Linked DNA regions of Mytilus edulis. The protein of the gene in region 3 purifies or fractionates together with the protein of the main gene of each other region. This does not show direct contact. Links are inferred from orthologs where the notes say so. Each region holds a gene or a part of one and is shown on either strand. Other genes may lie near its edges.

Region 1 (8,483 bases), about 23 Mb from region 3:
AACTGCAGCTTTAAACAATATTAATCAAATCAATTTCATTATAGAATAATAGATGAATAGCAGACATTTCAAAGGTGTAAAGAACTGAAATTTAGGGCAATCAGTCTTAGAAATACTTCTATGAAATCATTTTTTCATTCAGGAAATTGGCCGAAAATCGTTGTCTGTTTTCCAGTCCTTCATGGTAAGTTTAAAAAATAATAATATTTGTTATAATAATATAATTTACCGGCATCTTTCTTCCATTTCCCACATCCTTTGAAGTTTTTGCACCTCAAAATCATGAAATGGTGAAATTGTGTCCCCGGGGAATATGAGCGCCCCACTCTAACAGTTATCTCTTTATGAACTTAGGTGTTTCTTGATTTTTTGGCCGACAAAAAATTTACATTTTTTTCTGGTATTAAAAATCTTTTTTTTTTAATTTATGTTTTTTAATATTATTAGAAGGTTGTTTCTAGTATGTCTAATCTAAGGCTTCTGCAACACATGTTCAATTCAATTCAATTCAAAGCTTTATTTATAGACGGCATGTAAATTAACGAATCCCGGTCCGTTCGCCCTGGTACATGTTCACCCTGATACCTGTTTTGCCCAGGGTCCAACGCCCTGAATTTTATTTTTTTCTTATTGTTGTCTAGTTGCATAATGTTTATAATTTATATATGAATATGTTAGATTTTGTTGAAATTCGCCAAATACATGTATATGTATTCCCTCAACCATTTTATAGTTTTCTTTTGATTTACATATAGGTAGAATACTGGAATACAAATCAATGTTTATAATTTATCTTTATTTTAATATTTGTTACCAAATCATTTTATTCAGTCGATTTAAGCAGTATAACTGAGACTACTCTATCACATGATTGTGTTAAAGTAGTTTCATAATAAATGAACTTGTAAATTCTTTTCTTAAAACAAAATGTTGTTTTTATTATTAATCCCGCATCAAAGACAAATATTACAACAATCAGTGAGAAGTATTATGTCATTGAACAAGCTTTCTATGTGTTTTCAGAAATTCAAAGAATAGACCACATAAATATGAGGGGCCTGATGGGGGGGTCTCATCACGATTCACGAGTTGATTTTTTTGTCAATCACGAGTCACAGAAAATAAATTTCCATGATCACAGATCACGAAAATATAAGAAGAGTATCACCAATCAATCTCGATAATAGAGATTCAGAAGCTGGTTGTTTGGTGCAATTAAGCTACAATCAAATACATTACTGGCTCATTACTTGTTTACATGTTGAATTCTCCCAGGTTCTAAATTAAATCGTTAAAAACAGTCACATTCTGACTTCTTTTATTGTATAATAATAATATTTCATAGAAATGTTTTACTGGCGTAAATACCATGGAACCACATCTGTGTTTTATCTTGAGGCTAAACTAAGAGATTATAAAGTATATATATTTATTTTGTCAATAAAATTTACTGCTGAGCCTGATTGTTCTCCCACTCCTGCTGGTTGTCCCAATAAATTTATTTTCCTGTCCAAAACAGGTTGGATCTACATAAAATATCACAACCTCGACAATGTTATTGCTGTGGCTCTCAGCCATGGGGGCTGCCATAGCTTGCACTAATAAATGACCTAATTGCACTTTTAAAACTATCGTGCCACTTCAACTTTTTAAGCCAAGAAAGACAACTCAATGGAACTCTTTTTTTCCGTAATGAAAAAAAAATCACGAGAACGAAAAATATGTCTCAATCACGAAGAACGAACATAAAATTCCAATGAAAACGATTCACGAACAATGGTTTCATCACGAATCACGAAAAATAAATCTGTAGATAAACGGATCACGATAGCGAAAATGAGCCGATCACGAAGAACGGAAATAACCCATCAGCCCCCTCAAATATCTGAATAAGTTTTGTAAATTTTTATGCCCTTTATAATATTGACATTTCTTATTTAAAAGTAGGGCGAACGTACCAAGGGCGAACGGACCCAAGGCGAACATGCAATTAGGGCAAACTGACCTGATACCTTAATAAACAGATATACATATCTGTGAGCTTTTATAACTGACAAATACATAAAGGATTGAAACATAAAATGTTATTGTCTCAGGTCTTATCACATGTATATGAAGGCAAGCACAATATATTTTCATATTACCAAAAAGTTTACAGAAACTTCCACCAATTGTGTTGAACCGTAAGATGTTGTATTTGTGTTTTTGAGAGCACAACCTATTTCAGAAAGTTCAATATATTCTGTGCATCGTTTTCCAATCAATGCCATTTTCTCTGAACACTTTCAATCTCTAGATTCAATGAAGATATCCAAGAACATGAAGTATAGATTTGTTTCCTTGTATCATACATTTTTAAATACTTTTTGCCGGTTGATTTCTAAGATTTGACTCATAAGTTTTTGTTTCCCGCTTTTAAGCAGCTAGAGGAAAAGAAAACAAAAACTGTAAAAAATGACTCAGAAAGTTCATTGTTTAAATGCGAAACCGAAAGTATGGTGAAGGAAAAACTTATAAAATATATTCAGTTATCCATGACTGTTTGTTACTATAGACCTGTTGTTTCAACATTTTTTTCTGTGGTTTCAACAAAGATGATTGTTCGTTGACGTCTTCCGCCATCCTCTCACGTGTTGTTTGTTGTTGACATTTAATCAAAATTATTCCGAAGCAGGGGAAGCTGCCGAGGTGTTCCGATTAAAAAATAGAAAAGTCCCGAGGTAAAACGTATTAAAAAATGTATTGCAACACCGATAATAGTATATATTGAAAGAATAAATTGATTAAAGTTTTAATGAATATTACCATGAATTGATCCTTGAAAAAAATAGTCCACTCTTCAAACCAAATACAGTCTGAGGGTCAAAATTGTTACACCTATTAGAAATTATTTCACACTGTGACATTGGTGCTGTTATGACCCCCCCCCTAGTCCCTCCCTTTTATTATCATAAACCTCAGATTTTTTAAATATATATAACACTTATTTGTACCATATATATTCTAATAACTTTAAATAAGCATGCCTAGTACTATCAACGTGAATCTCGACTATACAGACGATAGCTTAATCAGTGCCGGCAAAATGTTCTTCTAAATATGAAAATACTCCCATAATTACATGACGTATGACATATTTAAAAAAAATAGATTAAAGGTAGCTCCATGGTATAACAACATCTTGGATTATACAATCGCAAAACAAAATCGGTCTAGTTATTTGCCCAAATCTGCAGTTTTGGAGACAGATTTACAATTTATTAGTTCGACTGTTTATTGATTTAAAAAAAACTTTGTGATTAACTTTATTATTCATAATATTTAAACAAATATCCATTTTTTTGTTTTTAGAATCATATTTTTCTCAAATAAGCCATTTAAGTGTAGATAACTCTTTTGGGGGAAATGCAAGCCTACGGCTTGGTTCGTTTGCCCAGGGTTCTTTAATGCTTCCTAGGAGTCTGTTTCCTGGGAACGTGAGCCCGCGTAATTTTGAATATATATAATAACGGGATGGAATTTTATCGTATTACCTATGTGTTCTAAATTGAAAACCTGTGTTTAATGAAGTTAGATGGTCAGTTTTCAGAGTTTTTTAGTTGTAACCGCAGGATTGATGCAAAGGAAGTCATTATCCCCTTTTTATATTCTCTCTATAGAAATAGAATTAATCAAACAGGCCTGGGTATTGAGCCATATGAAGTCAGAATGTTAAATTCATTTTTGTTCATGTACGCAGACGTGAGGTTTATCATATTTTGAAAATTCGCCGAAATGCACTTTGTATCAGTATTTACAAGATGGCAACACTATGCAATTTTACCTTAGTCGTCCATTAAACAGTTTGTATAAATCTTATATTACTAGATATAACATAAATGCTCATGCACTATGCATAGAAACAGGTAGATACTATAGTATAGCAAGAAAGGAACGTTTGTGTAGTATGTGTAATACAAATACTATTGAAGACGAGTATCATTTTATTTTAGAATGTGATAAATATAACGACATCAGATGTAAATATGTAAATAGTTATTACTATTAGAGACCCTCTACTTTACTGAATTAGTGTAGCTGTTATCTGTAAGAAATATCAAAGAGCTAAACAACCTAGTAAAATATTTGTTTTCTGCAGAAAAAGCACGTAATGGTTAATTATTCAAATGTTTATTTTTAGTTTAATATGTCTATATGTCATACTCCGCTTAATTCTTTCATTGTTTTGTATAATTTGTGTATAAATGTTATATTATGCTGTATATTATCTATTGGATATTTATATTGTGTAAATCCAATAAGCTGTATTTGCTTACGGAAATAAAGTATTATTAAATTTTGTATACACTCAAACTTTATTTTTAGTCGTTTTGACAACTTTATTAGAAAAATAACTTTCACACTTTTTTAACATATGAATTATACAAATTTTATTTTTTAATGTGCAATTACTTTTAATTTCTATTTTTCTAACCAAAACTTTAAATACAAATTAAAAAATATAATTTGCCATTATCTTCCCTGAACTGACTCACAAAATCAGGAAATAACCGACATTTTCGTGCATCTTTCACTATCATATGACAGTTTATTATAAAATCGGTTGCGGGTACACGTAGCCTACGAAGTCAAATTTGACTACGCGTACCCGCATGCGGGTATGCGCAGACACTGCCCAAAATAAAATGTAAGCCGTCCTCTCCCCATTCCAAACTCTCTTTTGTATCTCAAAGAGAGAGAAAAAATCTTGTTGAAAACAGATTATAAAAAAAGTATGGAAATAAAAATGGAAACGGAAAACTTACAAATAATCTATCATATTATAAAAATAATATGTGATCATATGTATATTTTATCAAAATAATTGAATAAAACCAGGTTAGGGATCAGCACTATTTAACTTACCTGTGAGTATAACAGTCGGAACAATGTCGGACGAAGAAGACGACCCGATTGAGCATGAGGTGACAAAACATTGCATTTTAATCTAATGACAGGTTCAATAATGAATTTTGTTATAGAATAGTATACTTGCGTTACATAGTTAGCTATAAAATACTTGAAAATTTTGACAAAATTGAAATTTAATCATTTGGGATTGTTGTTTGGAAAAAGGGGGAGGGGTATTGTTAGTTCAAGAACTGAAGAAGTTAAAAAAAACTTCACCATATAGCAGACATATTTTACCATACTATATCCACAATGTCCAATTACTCTTCTTTCCTTTAAATATTTTTGGAAAATTTCGAACAAAGAAAGAGTATGTAAAAACATTTATTCCATCTATCAGTCAGTGGCGTAGCTTGCATGTATGCTCAGATGCTCAAGCATCCACATCATTTTGACAAAAAAAAAATATATAATTGCATATGTTGTGTCTGAATGTAAGGGTGACGATATGTGAACATCGTCCAATCATTTCCAAAGCAGTATACATGGTCTTCTTTCCTTTAACCTTTTGGCTAAAATGGCCGTATTTACACCCCAAATTTTACTCTGAGTACAGACTAACCTATACACCTGCAACAGTTTTAAGGGATGGCAGGAACTAGATATATAAATTTTAAATGCATTTTATGTTTCAGAAAATTATAAACTTTTCTAGATTTTGCTATCCATTTTTTTTCGTTCCTGCAGAAGGTGCAAAAATTAACTAAGTCGTGAAAACGATTGAGAAGCTCCCCTCATATAATCAATGTTGTGAGTAGTATTGATTTAAATGGACAATAGATGGACAATAGACACCTGTAAACAATATGTGATTTAACAGGTTTAAACTGTGTAACTGAGTGGACCGTATCAAATGAAACTCGGGTGTCAGTCTTCACGCTGAGTGGCAGCCCTGGCAGCCCAGGCAGCCCAGGCAGCCCAGGCTTGTAAAATTGCTCTCGGGCCTGTAAATATCATATCTACAGGCCAACAGAATCTAACTAAAAAATTTCAAAAATTGAGCTCCGGGCCTGTAGGTTTAACAGTTCATCGTGAAGACTGGGGTGTTTGTTTATTTTGCTATCTTCTGCAGACTGGAAAAAAATGGACATCAAAATCCAGGTAAGTTTTTAATTTTCTGAAACGTAGACTTCATATAACTTTTATATATCTAGTTCCTGCCATGCCTTAAAACTTTCCTGGATGTACCAGTTTGTCTGTACTCATAGTAATTTTTGAGGTGTAAACACGGCCATATTTTTCAATTCCTTATGATGAACCTTAAAGGGAAACTTCGCAAAAAAATCAAAAATTGATATTATGTTCATTCTGTATAAAAATGTTCAAATTCATAGATATTAAAGTTTTATTCCGCTAGATAAGCGATCACCATCGATTTTAAATTTAGAGTATCAATTCTCCGAGATCCGCCATCTTGTCTTCTTTCCCGATGAATAAAAACGATATGTCTATAAACCACAAAGAAACAAAACTACAGTAACCGATGTAGTCGTAATTGCTTGTCGATATCTTGTCAATCGTACGGTTGTATAATACGACTAACTAACTTGATATGGAAAATATTCTTACTTTTTTTAAATTACCATGGTCTGTTGTTTTTAAACTGTTGATATGTGAATTAGGTGAAAAGTCAAAGTTGAAATCATAAATAAGTGTTCCGTGAAAATTGTTTTCGAAAATCTAATTTGTTCATAATTCTTTAAAGTAATAAACTTTTTTCAAGTATATTTTGATCTTCCCTTATCTGATCACCAGCATGGCTAAAGGTATTACTTCCAAAGGTATTGTGAGGGGTGTGAGGTGACACGTCCAGGTATTCAAGCGATTTCCTGTCGGGCTTGCAAGTTCATGCATCGTTTCACTTCTGCAGGTATTGATCAGTGTACACGGCTGATAACTTATAACTTATAACTTTCCATTTTGAACTATCAGATGTATAATATACAACTCTGTCTTACTTGTCATTACTAAACTCATACGCTTGTTTATAAATAACATTTCTGGTGTAAAGAATATAATTCATAATATATAAATAATACCCAAAAAATAAGATTTGATGAAATTAAAATCTATTTAAATATTTTTTCCAAGGGTGAATTTGGGAAAATGTAATATATAGTCATTGTCAATAGTGAAGGACAGATTGGAACAGACCAGAAATATTGATTTAAAAAAATGTACGCACTTGCCGACGATTCGTTTATACGACTGGATATAAAGTTACGGAACTATAGCGCAATTTAAAATATATACGTGAATACATTGAACATAAGAAAAAAACATATATTTTGAATAAATAGGGGTAAAAGTGTTGTAAATAGGCTAGCCAACGTATGCCAACAGTATGTAATTATCGAATGTCGATAGACTACAGTTGTATACCAAAAGAAGAAGAGAACCAATTTGATTTAAATACAGGTCGATGTATAACTTTTGCTTTGGTTCATTGAAGCTGTGGACCTAGGAAAATCACAGATTTATATTTCAATAAGATTGTTCTCAAACAAAGGAAGGAATTCGTCATCACAATTGTTATATATGCCACTGGACAAACACTAATTATCCCCAGGGGATGCGAATATTTTGCTGGGAAACTTTTGAGTATCAAAGTTTCAAATTAATTTCGGGATTTATTTTCTTTCTTGGTATTCAATAACCGAAAAAAGAATAAATTACTTGTTCGCTAAATAGGGATATTCTTGTCAGATAAAAGAATTTTAGTTATATTTAAAAAATAGGGAAATATGACATTAAATTGGTTCTGTCTTTTTTTAAACATCGTTAAAACGATGTGTGTCTAAGGTGAACGCCACAAGAACCCTGTAATACTAGTACGAGAGTATAGCATGTAAACATTCCTTCTCAATAATATGGTTGTATTGGAAAACTTTTCATACAGATTGACAACTCATTGTCCGATATGCATGTAATATTTGCCACATGACGCCCATAGTTCTTTCTACCATCATCACCTTATTCCTTTATATTGCTGTAAACATCGATGGTTCACACCCAAACAAAATGGGAGTAATGAACCTTCAGAGCTTCTCTGTGTTATACACTTGTGAAATATATAGACGAAATTTCTGTATTGAAATGAATCTACATCTCACAAACAGGATTTTCAAATAACGATTTTGAGTAATCACCTTACAAACCAATATAAACGTATGGCAAGATATAACCATGAAGGAATTTAGTTTTTGTCAGAACTCATCACTATATCATAAACGTATACGTATATATATGCATACAGTTTCAAATATCAAGAACAAGCGTTCGATGTCGATAGTCTGTTCTCTAACTGTTCAGAGTTAGACATGTCACTTGTTCATTCTTGGAAGCCTTCATATTCCCCGTCTAACGATGGGAACTCTTTCTGATTGTGTTGACTATAAATGCTTGTATGGTAATTCTGTCGTTTATCTGTACAAGCGGTTGCATTTCCTCTCCTTTCCCAACAAACAAACGAATGAAACGCAACTAGTCTGATTTCTCTGGAGCTCATCCTCAAAGGCTCTTATACGTCAAGA
Region 2 (8,582 bases), on a different chromosome or scaffold from region 3:
GTATCTTACATCTTCAGGCTTGTAGTTGACGGTGATTTCTGGTTTAGGTGGTTTTGGTGGTTCTGGGGAACTAATTGGTTCTACTATGATGCTGGCTTTACAGTCCTCGTTCTGGCAAACCAATACCGAAAATTTCTTTTCTGCAAACAAACAAAAGTTTCCACATTAAATACATTGTTTTCAAAAGCCCATACCACTAGAAACTGCAATCCATTTATATAAACTACATTCCTGTAATCACTTTTAGAAGAGACCCAATATGTAAATAGTAAGCTATAAAATTCAGACATGTAAACAAGTAAGTTCCATAAAAGAAGTCACAATTCTTTCACTCATTTAACGGCAGAGTAACTTCAATTAAAAACCTCAATAAATATTAAAACTGGAATCACTATATATTGTTAAAAGAAAGTCAAAATTCCCTAACTTTTATATGCATCTTGTACATAATCAAAGATCTCTCAACTAAAAAAATATATCCTTTAACTTTGGCAACTAAAAAAATATCCTTTAACTTTGGCTTTTTATTGCTAATTATTTATGGAACTGTATTCACAAATTAACCAGATATGTATAATGAAAATACAGTTTAAGTGTCCTTATTTTATTTGATTATTTTTACTTTTCAAGACATTTTTGATAACAAAATATTTTTTTTTAAACCTCTGCATAAATAAACATGAAAGAGGTCATTTGTAAATTTTTAAGATTTGAATCTGAATGCAAAACTTATTCCACCATTTGCATTCTAAATTTCATGAAAATATAATTCAAACACAGGAAATTCAGTAAAAAGACCACTTTGAAATAGTTTACGATAGAATATATAAACTTACCTTTCCCAGCTAAATCATATTTATTTTCATGGCCACATTTATGACACTTGAAAGATTTTATGTCACCAGGTGGTTTGAAATTTTTTCCTCCTCCACCTCCTTCTTCTCCGCCTCCGCCATCTTTCCCAGTACACATAAATCGGTAACTGCCTGGTGCAGCACTTATTTGTTGCCATACTTTGAAAATTCTTACATCAGAAACCCTCTGCACACAAACTGTCAATAAAAACATAACACAACTGATTTGCAACATATGTCTCTTTAATAGCTATATACAATTGAAATATTGCAGTATTTTACAGTTAAAACTATGTACATTTTGGAGTCATGCCTTCAAAACAGCTCTGAATACCTCAACTGTGGTAAGTATGGAAAGAAAGATTGGTCATAGGAATCTGTTTTGGTTTTCTTGGTAGAAGCAGTCTGTGACCTTTTATAGTATTTTACTCTAATCAGTCAGAGCTCAGACATAAACAAGTCGATTTTTGTTTTTGACTTTAAGAAGTCAAAACATGTATTTATTATAAAAATGTGTTTTCAATTTTAGACTTATCTGTGTCAGAAAATGACAGACTTATTTAGGTCTATTTGTGTTGATGAAAAAAACTAATTTTACTTGGTGGCCAAAGTACACCACCTATGACAGCAAAAACCAGTCTGAGAGTTCACAAGGACTTGAGCTTAATCTATATTTAACTACCTTTTTAATTGAACATCATTACTAAACACAGATGTTTCACCTCATCAAGTGTGGTTCCAGGTGGTTGCATTGATATGTTGATTAACATTATCTCCGATTTTTTAGACTCTCATTCTTATTTTCTTCAGAAGGCAAAGCGTTGTCTTTCAATGTTGTCATTATTTGATTTAGATGCATGACCTTTTTATAAATATGCGTGGGTCTTGAAGTTAACCAATTTATATAACTTATCGACTTGCAGGACTCGATATTTGCAACTTTTTGATTCTGGTCAATTATTTCTTGCTTAACAATATTTGACTTATTAAAGTGGTATTTTGTCTTGCATTTAAGGTAGACAAATCCTAAAACTTACAAATTTAGACCTCTATGAGTCAAAAGCAGATTCAGACTTATTTATGTCTGAGCTCTGACTGCTAATAATCTTCTGTTGTTCACATTTACCAGAAAGTTTATATTTTTAATTAAACTGTTGTTAAATTTCTGTTCTTAATCTTCTTGACTCTTATGTGACACCTTAGTTTTGCCAATTTCAAATACCAATGATTCACACCATTTCCATTAGCAAAACAATTCTTTGACTATACAGTCATTGACGGTATGCTGATTTTGAGGTCCCCAAGGTGTGAATTTGTCAAACTGAATCAGTGTATGCAGAACTTAGAAGGTTGCTGTGCAGCTCTCACCTGCTGTTTTTTTTGTGTCTGTATACAGATTTCTTACATACAATATTGAATTCTAATTATATAACTATTTCAGTTTAATCATTCATCATAATTATCTTAGCTGCTGCAATTTTATATGAAGGAAAATCATCTAAATCAAGACAATTCCTCCCTTTACTCAATTTGTTTTTCTGACATAGATTTTAAGCAATTTAAAGCCACAAATGACATCCCAAATTTCAGGAAAAATTAAATGCTGAATCCAGAATTCCAAAAAAGCATTCTATCCTAGCCGGCCTGATTTCCCCAAAAACAATCTCCACAATTATGACCATAGTCCTGATACATGTCAAACAATGTCTAACTCCTGAATTCCAGCAAAAATAAAGACCCATTAATGAAAAAAGTCTATGAGTATGATGCATGACTTTTTATATTAGTTGTTATCATGGTTATCATGGTTATCGGCTTTGAACTAGATGTCAGTAACAAGTACTCTCAGATCTGTACTTAGTGTCTTTTTGTTGTTGGGATGTACTTATACCCTGTCTCTTCCACAAGTTTTTGCTATATCATATATCATATCTAGTACATTTTATATATTTCACCCGATTTCTATAGTTCATTCTTATGTGGCACTGTTACACCACTGTCCTATATTTGGGAACTGTTGGGATCCTGCTAACATGTTAAACCTGCCCCATTCTGTATGTATAGTGAATCTGTATGTGCCTGTCCAAAGTCAGCAGCCTGTAATTCAATGCTTGTCCTTTTGCTGCTGTGTTACATATTTGTTTTTCGTTCATTTTTTCAACATATAACTACCATCATTCAATTCATAAATATTTGATGTAAAGTTTCCCACCCAATCTTATATTTGACATATGAGAAACGGACCCCATTACAGCGGCACTTCTGTATAATTTAGGAACTTCGGAATATAGGAACTGAAGTGACTTCTCTTTCCAGGAATTTGAGTCTACAACCATGGGTTTTTGATTTTTGATTACTGAGCTAAACGCGTTGCAGGAGACATAAAAATACCAGGCGTCCGATCATCTGGTCTTGTTAGCACTCTCATGTGTACAATTCTTGTTAGATTAAGTGAAACTCATATCTTAAGCAATGTCTTTAACAATTTGGAAAATAAGTCGTAATCAAATATTTTTAACCAGTTATGACCCTTTGAAATATAAATTGTAATGGAAATCACATTTCATTTGCTGTGAAGCTTTTATTTCTCTTAAGATATTGAAAAGAAAAAAGAAAAAGAAAAAAGGTGCTTTTTTAGTTTATATGCCTTGTTCCTTGCCCTTTGATAGATAAAATATGACATATAATGTGCATTGAAAATAAAATTAGTATTTGAACCTAGATAGAAACTGGAATTCATAAGCATCGGACTTATTACGATCTATTACAAATTGATTTTATTTTTATCACGTCGTTTACCATGTCGCAAGAAACGATATCATGATATGGTGTTTTATTTGTTAGTTGCTATAGTCAAATGAGAAGCCATCACTTTACTAGGTTCATGATTTTAGATGAAACATGTCCACGGGTCTGCGTATCAGTCCTTTCCGCTTGCCTAAGCCGATGACGTAGACCTTTTTACGAACAAAAGTTAACTTGGAACACTATTCTGCGATTCAACTATCTTGTTTACATAAACTAAATTATCCTAAATGCAAGACCAGGCATACTGCTTCGAAAATGACTGGACGTTATCCTCATATGATTTCATATTCTCAGCCTTGTTACATTTGGATACTTCCGAGTTAAACTGCTGCTATTTTTATTTTATTTTTTTCAAAATGATGTGGATGCTTGAGCATCCGAGCATACATGCAAGCTACGCCACTGATTGCTCCAATATGTTAAAAAATCAGTTTTGATACATTTTCTAAGTAAAGTTTGAATTTATTTTTACTGAGTTTTTTACAAAGTACTAAATTTAAACCAATGTTTGTTGGTGTGATCAAAAATATGAAGTAAAGTCTTAATAGATGGAGAACATGACTTAATGTTTTTGTAAAATTTAAATGAAGCCTTTAGTCCTTTATCATATAGTTTTTTTTTAGCTGCATTACATTTTCCAGTATTAGTAAGAACTAATCCTAAGTATTTATAGAATTTCACACACTCTATTCTGTTTGCACCTATATTAAATAAATAGCTGTTAATTATTTCTGTGTCATTAGGTCTCTTGTGGAGAGGTGGAGAGTTGTCTCATTGGAAATCATACCACATCTTCTTTTTCAAATTTGTAACCCTCACCAAAGTCATTTTGCCAGTGCTAGTCATTGGCTAAGAAACCATTTTCAAACTGAAGAAAGTTTTTCTGATCAATTTCATCACTATTTTTTTTTTAAATAAAATAAAATATTAATGACCCCACACCTAGAATAATGTCATCTATATCCAAATTCTTGAATGGAAAGATTATAGTAGGATTCAAGCGTATTGGTGTGACTGTCTCAAGAATGTCCAGACTGATTACATATATGGATTATGTTACATGTACATGTAGTAAAATTAAAAATGATGGTTTAGTTAAGGTGCTGTCATAATTGACCTTTACTAGATATCTACACTTCCGTCAAAAACATTTCAGTTGTGTATATTTGTGTGCTTTAAATAGAATATTTCCTAGAAATGCTGAAATTATAGTTGAAAATTTTTTTTCATCATCATAAGCATGTTGTCAAATTTATACATTACATTCACTTTTCATCATTGACATCTGCCTCACAGTTTAGAAAATACTTACCAATGTTTCTTCTGAAGGTAGAAGCAACCATATGACGAACAGGGCTACTGCAAAGTCTTATTGATGCAGACATATTTGTTGATAAAAATTTCAATCTAAAAATGTTACTTTTCCTAAACTTGATCGACAACAGGTTAGTTTTCAAACGGTAGTGTTTAAAAAAAAGTCGAAGTGCTTAAGCGCTATCGCATATCACGAAATGTGTGGTTTGCAGAGAGGATATTCAACATTAAACAGTTTTATATAAGAATTCTACTAGTCTTCCATCTCAACGATTGTTGACATTTTAAGGTCAAGGTTACGGGGAGAAATCGTAGTTCACAGAAAAGTATATATAAAATAACTTTGAAAGTAAATGTTTTAATCTTGAAAATTAAAGAAATAACACTTTTATCATTTTGATATACCCCAGTTGTTTAATTGAAATTAAATCTCGTAGTTTTTTTATCCAAAATATTAATTTCGATATTCCGTGTTTGGAAATCTCCCTAAAGATGGCCGCTTCCACCAGTCAACAATTTTATTCTTGACCAGGCCAATGGCAGGCAGAGGCAGAGGTAGAGGAAGAACTGTATCCTTCAATGTAGAAGCTTTGGGAATCAACAAGGGAGAAGTACCCATAGGGCCTGTTCTTCAACCGCCACCGCTCTTCCCGGTAAATAGAATAAGAAGCAGAGATGACATCATGTCATATTGAAAAACCAAGTGATGATGAAATAGATAAATAATTTGATTGATTGAGTCCAGTAAAAATATTTCATTCTCATTCAGAATAATATATGAGGGTAGAAACACAGGCACTCGTCTCAGAAAAAAAACGTGTTATATAAAGGTATACCAGGCGGGGGGGAGGGGATATATATATATATACACCTTATCGCTAATCCCGGCTGACCCGGCCGCTTGAACTTTTGACGCATACAATAATCACTTTTTCATTATGGCGTCAGATATTTTGTTTTATGACGTCAAATTTTTACGGGAACCTGTGTGATATCCAGTAATGGCGGACAAATAGCGATAAGGTGTATTCTGAGACTGAGTGCCTGTGGGTAGAAATGCTGTTTAATGTCAGGCGTTAAACTGTCATTTTTTTGGCTACCATTACCGTTTAGCGCCATGAAGTTAGTAATTTAGTTTAGGGAAAAGAATCTGTCTATTTAATTATTTTATCGTGTTTAAGAAAGTGAACATTTTATCGTCATGCACCAGTTCTTTTTCCAGCTACCAAAATAAAAGACCTTTGCTTTAGCCGACAAAGCACCAGAGGCGGAGTTAGGGGGGCAGCGGGCACAGGCCCCCCCTTTTTGGAAAAAAATTTGGTTGCTTATATAGGGAATCACTGAAGCGTGACTGGAGCGGGCCCCTCTTAGGCAGACAGCGGGCCAGCACTTATGAAAATTTCTGGATCCACCAGTGAGCACAGTTAGGTTTAATTTAATAAATTCATTGACATCTGGTTTAAAGGGCACTAGCCAATGCTAGCTGTCAAATTCATGGTCACCGATTTGACTCAAATTCTAATATTCGATTTATAACAATGTTAAACATTTATCCAAACTATCAAAAGTCTAAAATAAACAGTTTACAGAGCATGGGGTAGATAATATGTAGGTTCATTTCGTGTGTATTTTAGTACAGACGCCATCTAATTAACTATTGATTTGGCCTCAGATGACCATATAAGCAATGTAAACATAAATAAAGATATGAATAGATTAAACCAACATGTGCAATTGGATTTTTATAGGTCTTTTATTTTATAGATTAAAAATATATGTTTCTCATTGTTTTAACCGTCATGACCGTATAAGAATGATTTTATGTGGATCGATACTGAGTTTCACTTTCATTGTTGATTCTTTTTCTTCAACAACCAGTACACTTACAATATTAATGCATGCGTTGTCAATCTCTAGCTAGGGGGTTAAATTGAAGTTCACAAAAATACGGATTTAATGAGGTCGACTTGCAAGTGAATAATTAATTATCAATGTTTCTTAGCTTAATTTGACAAAATTGAACCATTTTGGCTGCTAAAAGCGAATTATTATTTCACTTTCATAATTGATTGAACAAAAAAATTCTTACTTTAGATTTTTTATATATCTGGTAGCTAGTGCCTCTTTAAAAGTTCTTATTAATCAAATATTTGTAATTTGTCTTCCAGTGTGTTCATTTAAAGTTATTATAAACGACTGTTAACGTCATAATACAACTACATTTCTTACGCCTATACATTCGCAGACCATTATGCTTAAGCGTATGGAGGAATCACAGTTAAGCGTATACCATGGCACTTCAGCGTGACCATTGAACTTAAGAGACCCCATTGCACTTTAGAGTCCTACATTGTATAAATATACTGGAGATTTGTATCAACATTTTCTGTTCACTTTAATGATAAAGCTACATATTTTCCTAGTTTTTAAGACCACTGTCATTTAATATGGTATAACATTATCACCATGATCCAAATGTCATTTGGTTTCTAGCCGAAATTGAGTATAGTTGTATACATAGATTTTGAAATTGTACCACAAGGTTCAATACCACAAAAGGAAGGTTTTGATTGATTTTGGTGGATATTGTTCTGACTGGTATGGATTATAAGGGGAAATAAACTGTCACTTAAATTCTTGTTTCGTGAAAATAACTAGTGTAAGTGTATGGAACTCTATGAAATTGTACCAAAAGGTTCCATACCTCAAAAATAAGGTTGGGATAGATTTATTAAGTAACTTGTAATGGCCAAATCCCTTTTAGAAATAAGGGGTAATCACAAAAAAACAAGGATTTTATGTTTTCAGGAACAATAACTTGAGGTAAAAAAAAATGTATTTATGCATGTACATGTATTACCATGATTTTTTGAAAAAGGGCCAAAAACATTACTTTTCTACTCATGTGTATACATTATTTCTTGACTTATTTCAATGGGGTCTAATTCAAAGTCTTGAATTCATGAGGTTCTCTTATATATGATGAATCTAACTGTGTATTTAGATTTTAGAAATTATATCCCTTTTAAAAAGTTGTCTATTTTATGGTCTAAAGTGTTCAAATTTAACTTATTTGATTTCATAAAAAACTGAATATTTAGGTTTCTTTGATGCTGTATCAAACCATGTATTGCCATTTCATTTATTTTGGTCCCATTATTAAATTGATCCACATTGAGATCAAAATCTTAGCCCTGATCAGAGTACCAATCACTTGACTTTATATTTTATCTCCAATATCATGTCCAAAGCAAACATAAATACCATTCTTGTTGTGGATTATCTGGATAAAGAAGGAAGTAAAATGTGGGTAGGTGGTGTGTTGTGACCACTAAGTTACAAGCATACTCTTAAAACGCCATGAAATATAGTATATGCAGGAGTTGATTTTTTCTCTGTATTTTAGCCACAAGAATTCAAACCAGTACCACTGAAACAAAGTGAAGATTATGAATATATTTGTGCCTTGAAGAAAGAGTTCATAGGTTTTATGAAAAAGTCCCCATACTACATACAATCCAAAGAGAAAAGGAAAGATATTGATAGATATTCAGATAAATATCAATCAGGACAAGACACATTGGGACAATGGAATCCAGGTAAAGA
Region 3 (8,570 bases):
TTCTTTGTGGCAAATGGAGACATTTTTTATTGAGATGTACTAATTTTATGGGAAAGAATGTGATATTCAGTAAAAAAAAAAAATGACAAATAGCGAGGAACTTGGACACAGCATTCATTAAGCGAAATGTTTGGTTTTTAAAGGGGTGATCCTAAGAATAAAGACAATGAATGCAGTAATCGTCCATATTCTTACCAAAAAATGATAGCAGTTTTACATTTACATTGCCTTTTTGTTACTACTTAAGAGGGTGTTTCCTCCGTGCTAGTATATTTGTAATATTTTCTGTCTTCATTAATCATTTAACCAAGTTGGCAACAGACCATCATGACAATGTAGGCCATGTCAGCAAAAATTTTGTCTCTTTACTGCATTGGTGACTTAAAAGCTGCTTATTTCAATATGAAGTTCAGAGTGGAAATGGGGACAAAGAGACAACAACCTAACCAAAAAACAGATAACAGCCCAAGGCCACCAATGCAGGGAGAAAATATACATAGTTTGAAGAAGTGTTTGAATACTTCATGTACTAGTTAACAAGTCTAATATATTCCTAAAAGATGGGACCTAATAAATTTCGTCCAAGGCCAATACAAATCCTTGCCTGGCACCATACATGTCCTTATTATACATGTACCTCAGTTATCATTTCCTATATATAAAGTCAGTACACAATATATTGATTAATTTTCAACGTGCAAGCGTTTAACTATTTGCCAGTGAAACTATTTGACCACAAACGTCAATATATTGCAAAATTTCAAATGCAGCTACAGGATTGGAGAATACTGTGGTAGTTGCCATGTCACATTTTTCATATGTACCTTATGTATCAAGGTTTGACACCAGTCAGGATGTAGCCTATAAGCATTCAGAATACACATGAAACAAACGCTAAACAGTATAGTTGTCTTTCTTCACATATATAACGAAAGTTGATTTAATTAACCCCAACATTTATATCTGTTGTCTCTTTCGGTATAATTAAAGGCAGTGTCTGCGCGTACCCACATTTGGGTACGAATAGTCAACTTGCCATTCGTAGGCTACGGGTACACAGTGACACATCCTGTTTTATAAAACATGCCATCGGATCCAGAATGAAACATGAAATATAAACGGACATTATCGATAATATGGGGATCTCGTGTAGAAAGAGTGAAGAGTATGAAAAAATATATTTTCAAATTGTATTTATTTAATAATGATACATAATAAACATTGCAAATTAAATGCACATCCTTTGATGGAAAATGAGACTGTACAGTCCCTGTAAAAAAAAAAACTTGATAAAAATGAATACTATTATAAAATGTAAATGCAAATTTAAAGAATTAAATTTTACTGAATTTGAAAAATACCCATATGAGATTTTTTTTAAATGTTTTAGTAAAATGTAAAACAGAAGATGTTCAAATAAACATTTTGCTTCCCTCGCAATCAGGTTTTGTCCATCTTTAGTCATGCCAAGTTTAAAGTGGAAAGGACAATCCATTTGAAATGTACTAAAAGTAGGCATACATATATCCTTTATATTAAGAACGGTTTAAAATAGTAAAACTAGAAGTATTTGACATAAAAAAAACTTGACCTGAGACTACTATAACACATAGTAGTCTCAGATGTGACTAATGTATAAAACGTGGCAAATTCGATTTAATACTGCACTTTAAAACAAATACTTTGTATTAGGCCTTTTTCCTACCAAATTTGTTTGGAATTTTTTGCCTCCATTACATTCATGACATTACATGAAAAATGTATTCTGTTAGGGACGACATCAAAAAATCTATGGAAAATAAAAAACTTAATTCAAATAGTTTGGGGGTGGGGTTATAATTCCTGCAAGTTTTGTTTAAATGGGGTGGGGGGGGTGTTAGGTGGTCAGAGAAAAACTATGGTATATGAATTAAGTTTTTTCTCTTACATTGAACTTTTGATGTCGTCCCTTAAACTTTAATTGTATAAAATTAATCAACTGTTCTAATTCATGATACCAATGGAATGTCTACCCACATGTTTATAACTCTTTTCAATTTTTTAAATGAATAATTATTAACTGAAATAACTAGAGGCTCTTAAGTGTCGCTCACCTTGGTCTATGTGCTTATTAAACAAAGGACACAGATGGATTCATGACAAAATTGTGTTTCGGTGATGGTGATGGTGATTTGTTTGTAGATCCTACTTTACTGAACATTCTTGCTACTTACAATTTTCTCTATCTATAATAAACTTGGCCCTTTAGTTACAGAGGAAAATATTTTGTAAAAATTTACAAAATTTAACCAAATATGAAAATTGTTAAAAATTGACTATAAAGGGCAATAACTCCTTCAGGGGTCAACTGACCATTTTGGTCATGTTGACTTATTGGTAGATCTTACTTTGCTTAACATTATTGCTGTTTACAGTTTATCTCTATCTACAAAAATACTCAAGATAATAACCAAAACCGGCAAAATTTCCTTAAAATTACCAATTTAGGGGCAGCAACCCAACAACCGGTTGTCTGATTCATCTGAAAATTTCAGGGCAGATAGATGTTGCCTTGATAAACAATCTAAACCCATGTCAGATTTGCTCTAAATCTTAGGTTTCAGAGTTATAAGCCAAAATCTACATTTTACCCCTATGTTCTATTTTTAGCCATGGTTGGCATCTTGGTTGGTTGGCTGGGTCAGCTGACACATTTTTTAAATAAGATACCCCCTTTAGGCCAGGTGAGCTAAAAACTGTTCACTTACCTATATATAAATATTTACAAATCTTCTGATTAGTTTTAGTCAATTTATTCACTAATTACGTCAAATTCTGTATATATTTCACATTTTATTCCCGATCTGATGACATTTCATTATAAAACCGGATGTGGGTACGCGCAGATATAGTACAAATAATTATGACGTCTGGCAAGGCTATTTTAATTTTTTTTCTGGGACGCCTCTCAGAAAGAAAAAAAATAGCCTTGCCAGACGTCATAAGGGAGCTAGCTACCATTTGATTTATATGGGGGGGCTAGGATGAAAAATTTTGACCTGCATTTTTTTTTAGCTGTAATCTCTGTCCTGCCTTTTTATTTTTCACTCTAATCGGTCCTGCCTTCTTTTTTTTTTAGTTTATCCTGACTTTTTTTACCTAAATTGTCGTCCTGACTTTTTTTTTTGTGCAAGTGTCACACATTTTATAAATATACATTAGTGTGTCTTTCTTTTCTCTTCGTTGTAATCATTGATTTAATTGTACTCAAATAATTGTAATCATTTTGTAATCATTGTACCAAATTTAACTTGTGATTATTCTGCCTGTAATGGGCGTCTTTAATTGACAATAAAATATATTTGATTTGATTTGATTTGCCTTTTTTTTACTCAAAACTCCTGTCCTGCCTATTTTTTTCAAATATCATCATTAATTATACCTTCAGATAAAATATTTAGCACATATTTGACATCAACTGTCTTCTATAAGCGTCATCTCGACGTTGATCTCCACATTGTTTCTTGTTTCACTTTGTACTTTCGTTTTATTTTGGTAAGACTTGCTTCTGGCATAGACGTACGCCGAAGTCCGACGACTTATCGAATACAAACGTACGTTATTGTGCCTTAACGGTGGAATAATTTATTGAAGAAAGGCGTAAGATACCAGCTTTTCTTGTAAATTTTGTGCAACTCAACATAAAATTTCAAGATCAAAACTGTATAAAAAAGACTAGAATATTTTTTCATACAATTTGTAGGTTCTCAAAAATAATTGCCTGGACATTGAACTTATCTAAACAAAAACGGTGGACACTAATAAGACATTTCAAAGGTTTGAAAGGTTTTAATTTTCAAATGAATCAATTTCAATAAAACAGTCGACTGCATGTCTGCCGGGGGCATGGTGTTCTGCTACTTTTGCAAGACTGACTAGAAAGTTTTATAAGTCCTTATCATTAAAAACATCTACTATTATATTTTTTTTCTCAATGGTTAGCATGGGTAGAAGGCTACAATTTAAATTTCTATTATATAATATCAGAGACATATCATACAATAGTTGCGAATCTCTTGTATTATATGTCTCTGATTGAATGGTATATGTAGGGACGATGTACTGTACATGAAGACAGTTAAGGTCGCAACTAGAAATTAACATTAATCTGTATACTATATGTCGTCTCAAAAATACTTACATTATTTTTCTTTTTATTCATATTGAATAATTTGAATATCATCTATATCTTCAAAGATCCAAACATGACAAGTTGAATTGCTCCTGCATACAACGACCTAAGACAAAACCGTTTTTATTGGAACCTACATTGACATCTTTATAATAAAAGTAACAATTGTTACAATCATTAATGAAGAACTATAGATCTTTTTTCACTGTAAGGCCGGAATATCAAAATAAAATAACTTACAAACAACCTGCTGGTACTGTCACATCAAGCTCCAAGAAATTTCTCCCCAAATTATTATTCTACATTTTATCAGCAAACAAAAAGTTAATGTGAAACGGGCTGCTCTGAGGTGGTGATATAGATATGAATACTGAGAACTCAATGAAAATGCCTCTCTTGATGCACAATTAATTAATATCAAATACATTTGAACATCATCATTTAGGGACAACACACTACTTCTTTATATGTATAACATAAAGACAGATTGAAGAAATATTAAAACTGATTCATAAAACAGAATGGCCAACACATATCTGTTTTAACAAGGAAGGAACAAATAATACTTTGTGAGAACAAATACTCTGATTCGAGATTTTTTTCTCTGAAACAGACATAACCATAATGCTGAATTTTAATATATAACTTTAGTTTTCCCATTGTTATCTTTCAATTTCTTGGTTACACCAATCAATCAGTTCCTCACGTATATTGAGTATATATTGCCAAGTCGAGAAGACATTCTAGATCTAGCGTATCCTATCATTTTCTTGGTAGAGGGTTTCTGCTTATAGTCAAGCAATTGTATTATGTGTTCCCAGTGGTTTAGTTGAATTTATCCCTTCGAAAGTTTTACAGACGCAATCATGATTTGGTTGGCCATTGTGGAATATCAATGATACATGATCTTGGATTTGGATTTTGTCTAGTGCTGTGTAATCTTTTGGTTTTTTTTTTGGGTTTTTTTTGTGACGTGACGACTTCTCAACATAAATGACGATTTTTACCACTTTGTTTAGCGCATTTGATTATTATCAGCAAAACAAGACATCTACATGTGTCTACATGTTCCAAATTGTCAGTCGACAACTGTATAAATAAGTTGTTACCCCTAAGCGATTATGTTTACCTATATTTTGTACATTTAGCCAAAAGCAGTCGATAAAGAGAGACTATAAACTAACAGCTAAAATGACCAGCAAAACAAGATCTGTAAATATAGCAACACGACAAAATTGACACATTGTTAGTTTTCTCGTTTGAATTGCTTTTACATGGTTTTTTCGGGGCCTTTTATAGCTGACTATTCGGTGTGGGTGTTGTTCATTGTTGAAGGCCATAGTTGTTAATTTCTGTGTCGTTTTTGTCTCTTGTAGGGAGTTGTCTCATTGGCAATCATACCACATCTTCTTTTTTATACATATGATCTATTACTGCCCTGAAATGAAGAGTAAGCCCTCTTTCTGTGTTGAGCAATAGTTATATATAAAGATGGAGAGAAATTATAGAAAAGCAAAAATGATCAAAAGACTAGACCTACTGTACAAGCAGTCCAAACAAAGTCGAAAAATTCAACATTTAAAAAAAAAAGTTACTGCGATAAATAATGATGTCTACCCTTTTATTTATGTGTTTGGCAAAACTAGAGTAGATAGAAACTAAAAACAGAAAAGTCATCAGCAATACAAGATAAATAAATAGAGATCTTTATACATGGGATTATATTCTGTTATTATGTTCTGACATTACTAAAAATGTACATTCATCCTGAAGAGCGAAATGGGCTCTTTAGAGCCTCTACGCACTTTTGACCATGATGTCTGATTATATATATATGTTTATTTTCACCTTGGTGATTCCCCTCAGTTGTTATTACCTAAATGATATCTAGTTGCAAAATAAACTTTGAACTACTGTCATTCAAATAAGATATAATTATACCCCACACAATTTTAGAGTCCGAGTATATTGTTTTTGACCAGTCAGTCTGGCTGTCTGTTTGTCAGTACTTTTCTTGTCATCAAATCGCCTCTGAAACCATACAACCGAATTTCATGAAAATTTATCTATAGATAATAAGGACATACTATGTAGAAATGCATATCGACAAGAAATTAGGAGTTAATTTTTTTCCTTTGCACTTATTTGCCTAAATATACTACTGCAACAGTTTGTCATCGCAACTCCTGTAAATATACACAACAGAATTTCATAAAACTTTGTTGATAATTATCACAAGAAATGTTCATCAGTTGACTTTTGGAGAAGATAGTCTTTGAACTTATGAATCTAGTGAGATTCTGTCAATGTGGGGGCGTGGGGTATGTGAGTATGCTCACACAGGTTCTTTTAAATTTTGGAAATGTTTCTGTCAATTGATAACATGGGAAAGACCAGTGCTACCAAATTTTCAGTGAATGATGTATTAATCATTCTGATTAAGAATACAAATCTAATGAACTACCTCCAAAGATAACAGCAGGTTTTTTTTTGTCAAATAACAGCTAAAATTGAATGCCAGGATTATCACAGATCTTGTCATTTATCGGTTCTAAATCTACTGGCTATAATCTACATTAATTATTAATGGCTGATCTTTTTAAGTGTTATCTAATTACAATTACCAGTAGCACATATTGCTCATATGCTGAGACTTATTTCTTTGTAAAAATTCAATATCCATGAAATCTATTTGTTTTTACCTCTGTTGAGTTCTATTCAAAATAATTGATAACCAGATGCTCCGGAGGGCGCAGCTTTTTACTACCGCAGAGGTGAAACACTGAACAGTTAAAGCAAGTATGGACACAACATTCAAGCTTGATACAGCTCTGAATTTGGATTGTGATTAAATAGTTGACACAGCAAAGGTTTCTAACACAGAATGAATATGGTCTAATGAACTTAAAATTTTTGTTTTGCTTTCGTGCTGTTGAATATTAATCCCCTCCCAAAAAAATATTTGAAGAAAAAGTCTTTTTAATTTCTGAAATCTAAAATGAGAAAAATTTTACAGCTATACATCTCAAGACAATCATCATTTCTTAATACATAATTTTCAAGCTTTGTAAGGGAGGTAATCAAGTAATCAAACATATTTATAACAGTATTCTTTAACTTTAAATTAGATTACCTCCTTAACACTGCGATGGCGAAGCTGACACTAACGTGATACCAATATACGACCAAAATTTAAAATTTTTTTGCTGTCGAATAGAAAAATGCTACTGTAGAGCATCTTTTCTTGATATACCTTCAATATGTAACAACAATAAAACCAAATATTTAAATGCCAACAAATATTGTATAAAATTGAGAATGGTAAAGAGCAGAATCAGAACGGGACCACCAATAGTTCTTAAACTACACTGTGACCAAAAGCTAAGGAACATAACAGAAAAATACAAACTAGCTAAGAATAATTTTACCCGATGCAGTAGGATGCCTATTTTCTTGGTAATTTTAAAAATTATTTGTTGATGAAAATTCTTAGAGTTGTATGTCCTATATGTTAATATAGCAGTATAATCATACACAAGCTTAGGGGAACATACAGTCTGTATTGAACCAATGTTAAAAAAAATAGCATTTTTGTAAATTTGATGCCTTGGATTTATTTTCATCTATATATTGTAAATTATGAAACAATCATACATTGTATTTGTCTTAGACATTAAAATATAAAATATATTCAACTACTACCTTAAAAAAAGTCTTACACTGTTAACTGAAATACAAAATGTATTTTACTCATTGTTGAAGGTGACCTGAAATTTTTCACATCTTTTTCCTTTTGTTGATTTGAATTTCGGTGTTTTAACGCCACTTTAAAGCACCGATTTTGGGCTATTTCGTGGCGGCCAGTTTTTATTGATGGGGGAAGCCAGAGTGCCGAGAGAAAACCACTGACCTTACGATAGGAATATTTCCTTTAGATTTTTATGGTTATTTGTCTCATTGGTAATCATACCACATCTCCCTATTTCTGTTTCAATAAGTCTATTTCTTGGCTCTATGTTAGTATAAACACTACTAAATTGTATGTGCCCTGGTCTACATGAATTAACAATCAGACAGATAGCATAGAGCATTTCCAATTTCAAAATGGCTAAGGACTGTAAAGAAGCCAATACTGTAAATTCAGAAATTATTGCGAGGTTTTTATTATTGCGAAAAATGCGACAGAGTTGTAAACGCAATAATTTAAACTCACATTTTGAAGTATTTTCCATGAAATAATCAGGATTTTTCATAAAAATTAAAATCGCATTTAAGTCTAAATTAACAAAATTGCAATAATAAATGCATGCAATAATTTCTGAATTTACAAAATTTTAATTTTTTTTTATTGCCTGAAGTCAATAACTTGGATAAACTACAGCATAATGTATTTTCATGA

What was found.
Region 1: the proteins of DNA-directed RNA polymerase III subunit RPC8-like (region 3) and DNA-directed RNA polymerase III subunit RPC5-like purify together in Homo sapiens (affinity purification with mass spectrometry; 9 studies listed by BioGRID and IntAct, counting the BioPlex papers as one, with this or other methods). This does not show direct contact. The link is inferred for Mytilus edulis from reciprocal best matches to the Homo sapiens genes POLR3H and POLR3E.
Region 2: the proteins of DNA-directed RNA polymerase III subunit RPC8-like (region 3) and DNA-directed RNA polymerase III subunit RPC7-like purify together in Homo sapiens (co-immunoprecipitation; 4 studies listed by BioGRID and IntAct, counting the BioPlex papers as one, with this or other methods). This does not show direct contact. The link is inferred for Mytilus edulis from reciprocal best matches to the Homo sapiens genes POLR3H and POLR3GL.

Annotation. Positions count from the first base shown.
Region 1 is NC_092352.1:63,261,181-63,269,663, reverse strand, and holds the start of DNA-directed RNA polymerase III subunit RPC5-like, read left to right. Parts: upstream 1-4,895; 5' UTR 4,896-4,928; coding exon 4,929-4,964; intron 4,965-8,483. Other genes in the region: H(+)/Cl(-) exchange transporter 7-like, read right to left, coding at 2,145-2,270. UniProt on the Homo sapiens protein: DNA-dependent RNA polymerase catalyzes the transcription of DNA into RNA using the four ribonucleoside triphosphates as substrates.
Region 2 is NC_092347.1:19,547,277-19,555,858, forward strand, and holds the start of DNA-directed RNA polymerase III subunit RPC7-like, read left to right. Parts: upstream 1-5,494; 5' UTR 5,495-5,512; coding exon 5,513-5,629; intron 5,630-8,382; coding exon 8,383-8,575; intron 8,576-8,582. Other genes in the region: ATP-dependent clpX-like chaperone, mitochondrial, read right to left, coding at 10-140, 837-1,052, 4,975-5,047. UniProt on the Homo sapiens protein: DNA-dependent RNA polymerase catalyzes the transcription of DNA into RNA using the four ribonucleoside triphosphates as substrates. Specific peripheric component of RNA polymerase III which synthesizes small RNAs, such as 5S rRNA and tRNAs.
Region 3 is NC_092352.1:85,910,981-85,919,550, forward strand, and holds the start of DNA-directed RNA polymerase III subunit RPC8-like, read right to left. Parts: upstream 3,549-8,570; 5' UTR 3,422-3,548; intron 2,860-3,421; exon of another isoform or gene 2,748-2,859; intron 1-2,747.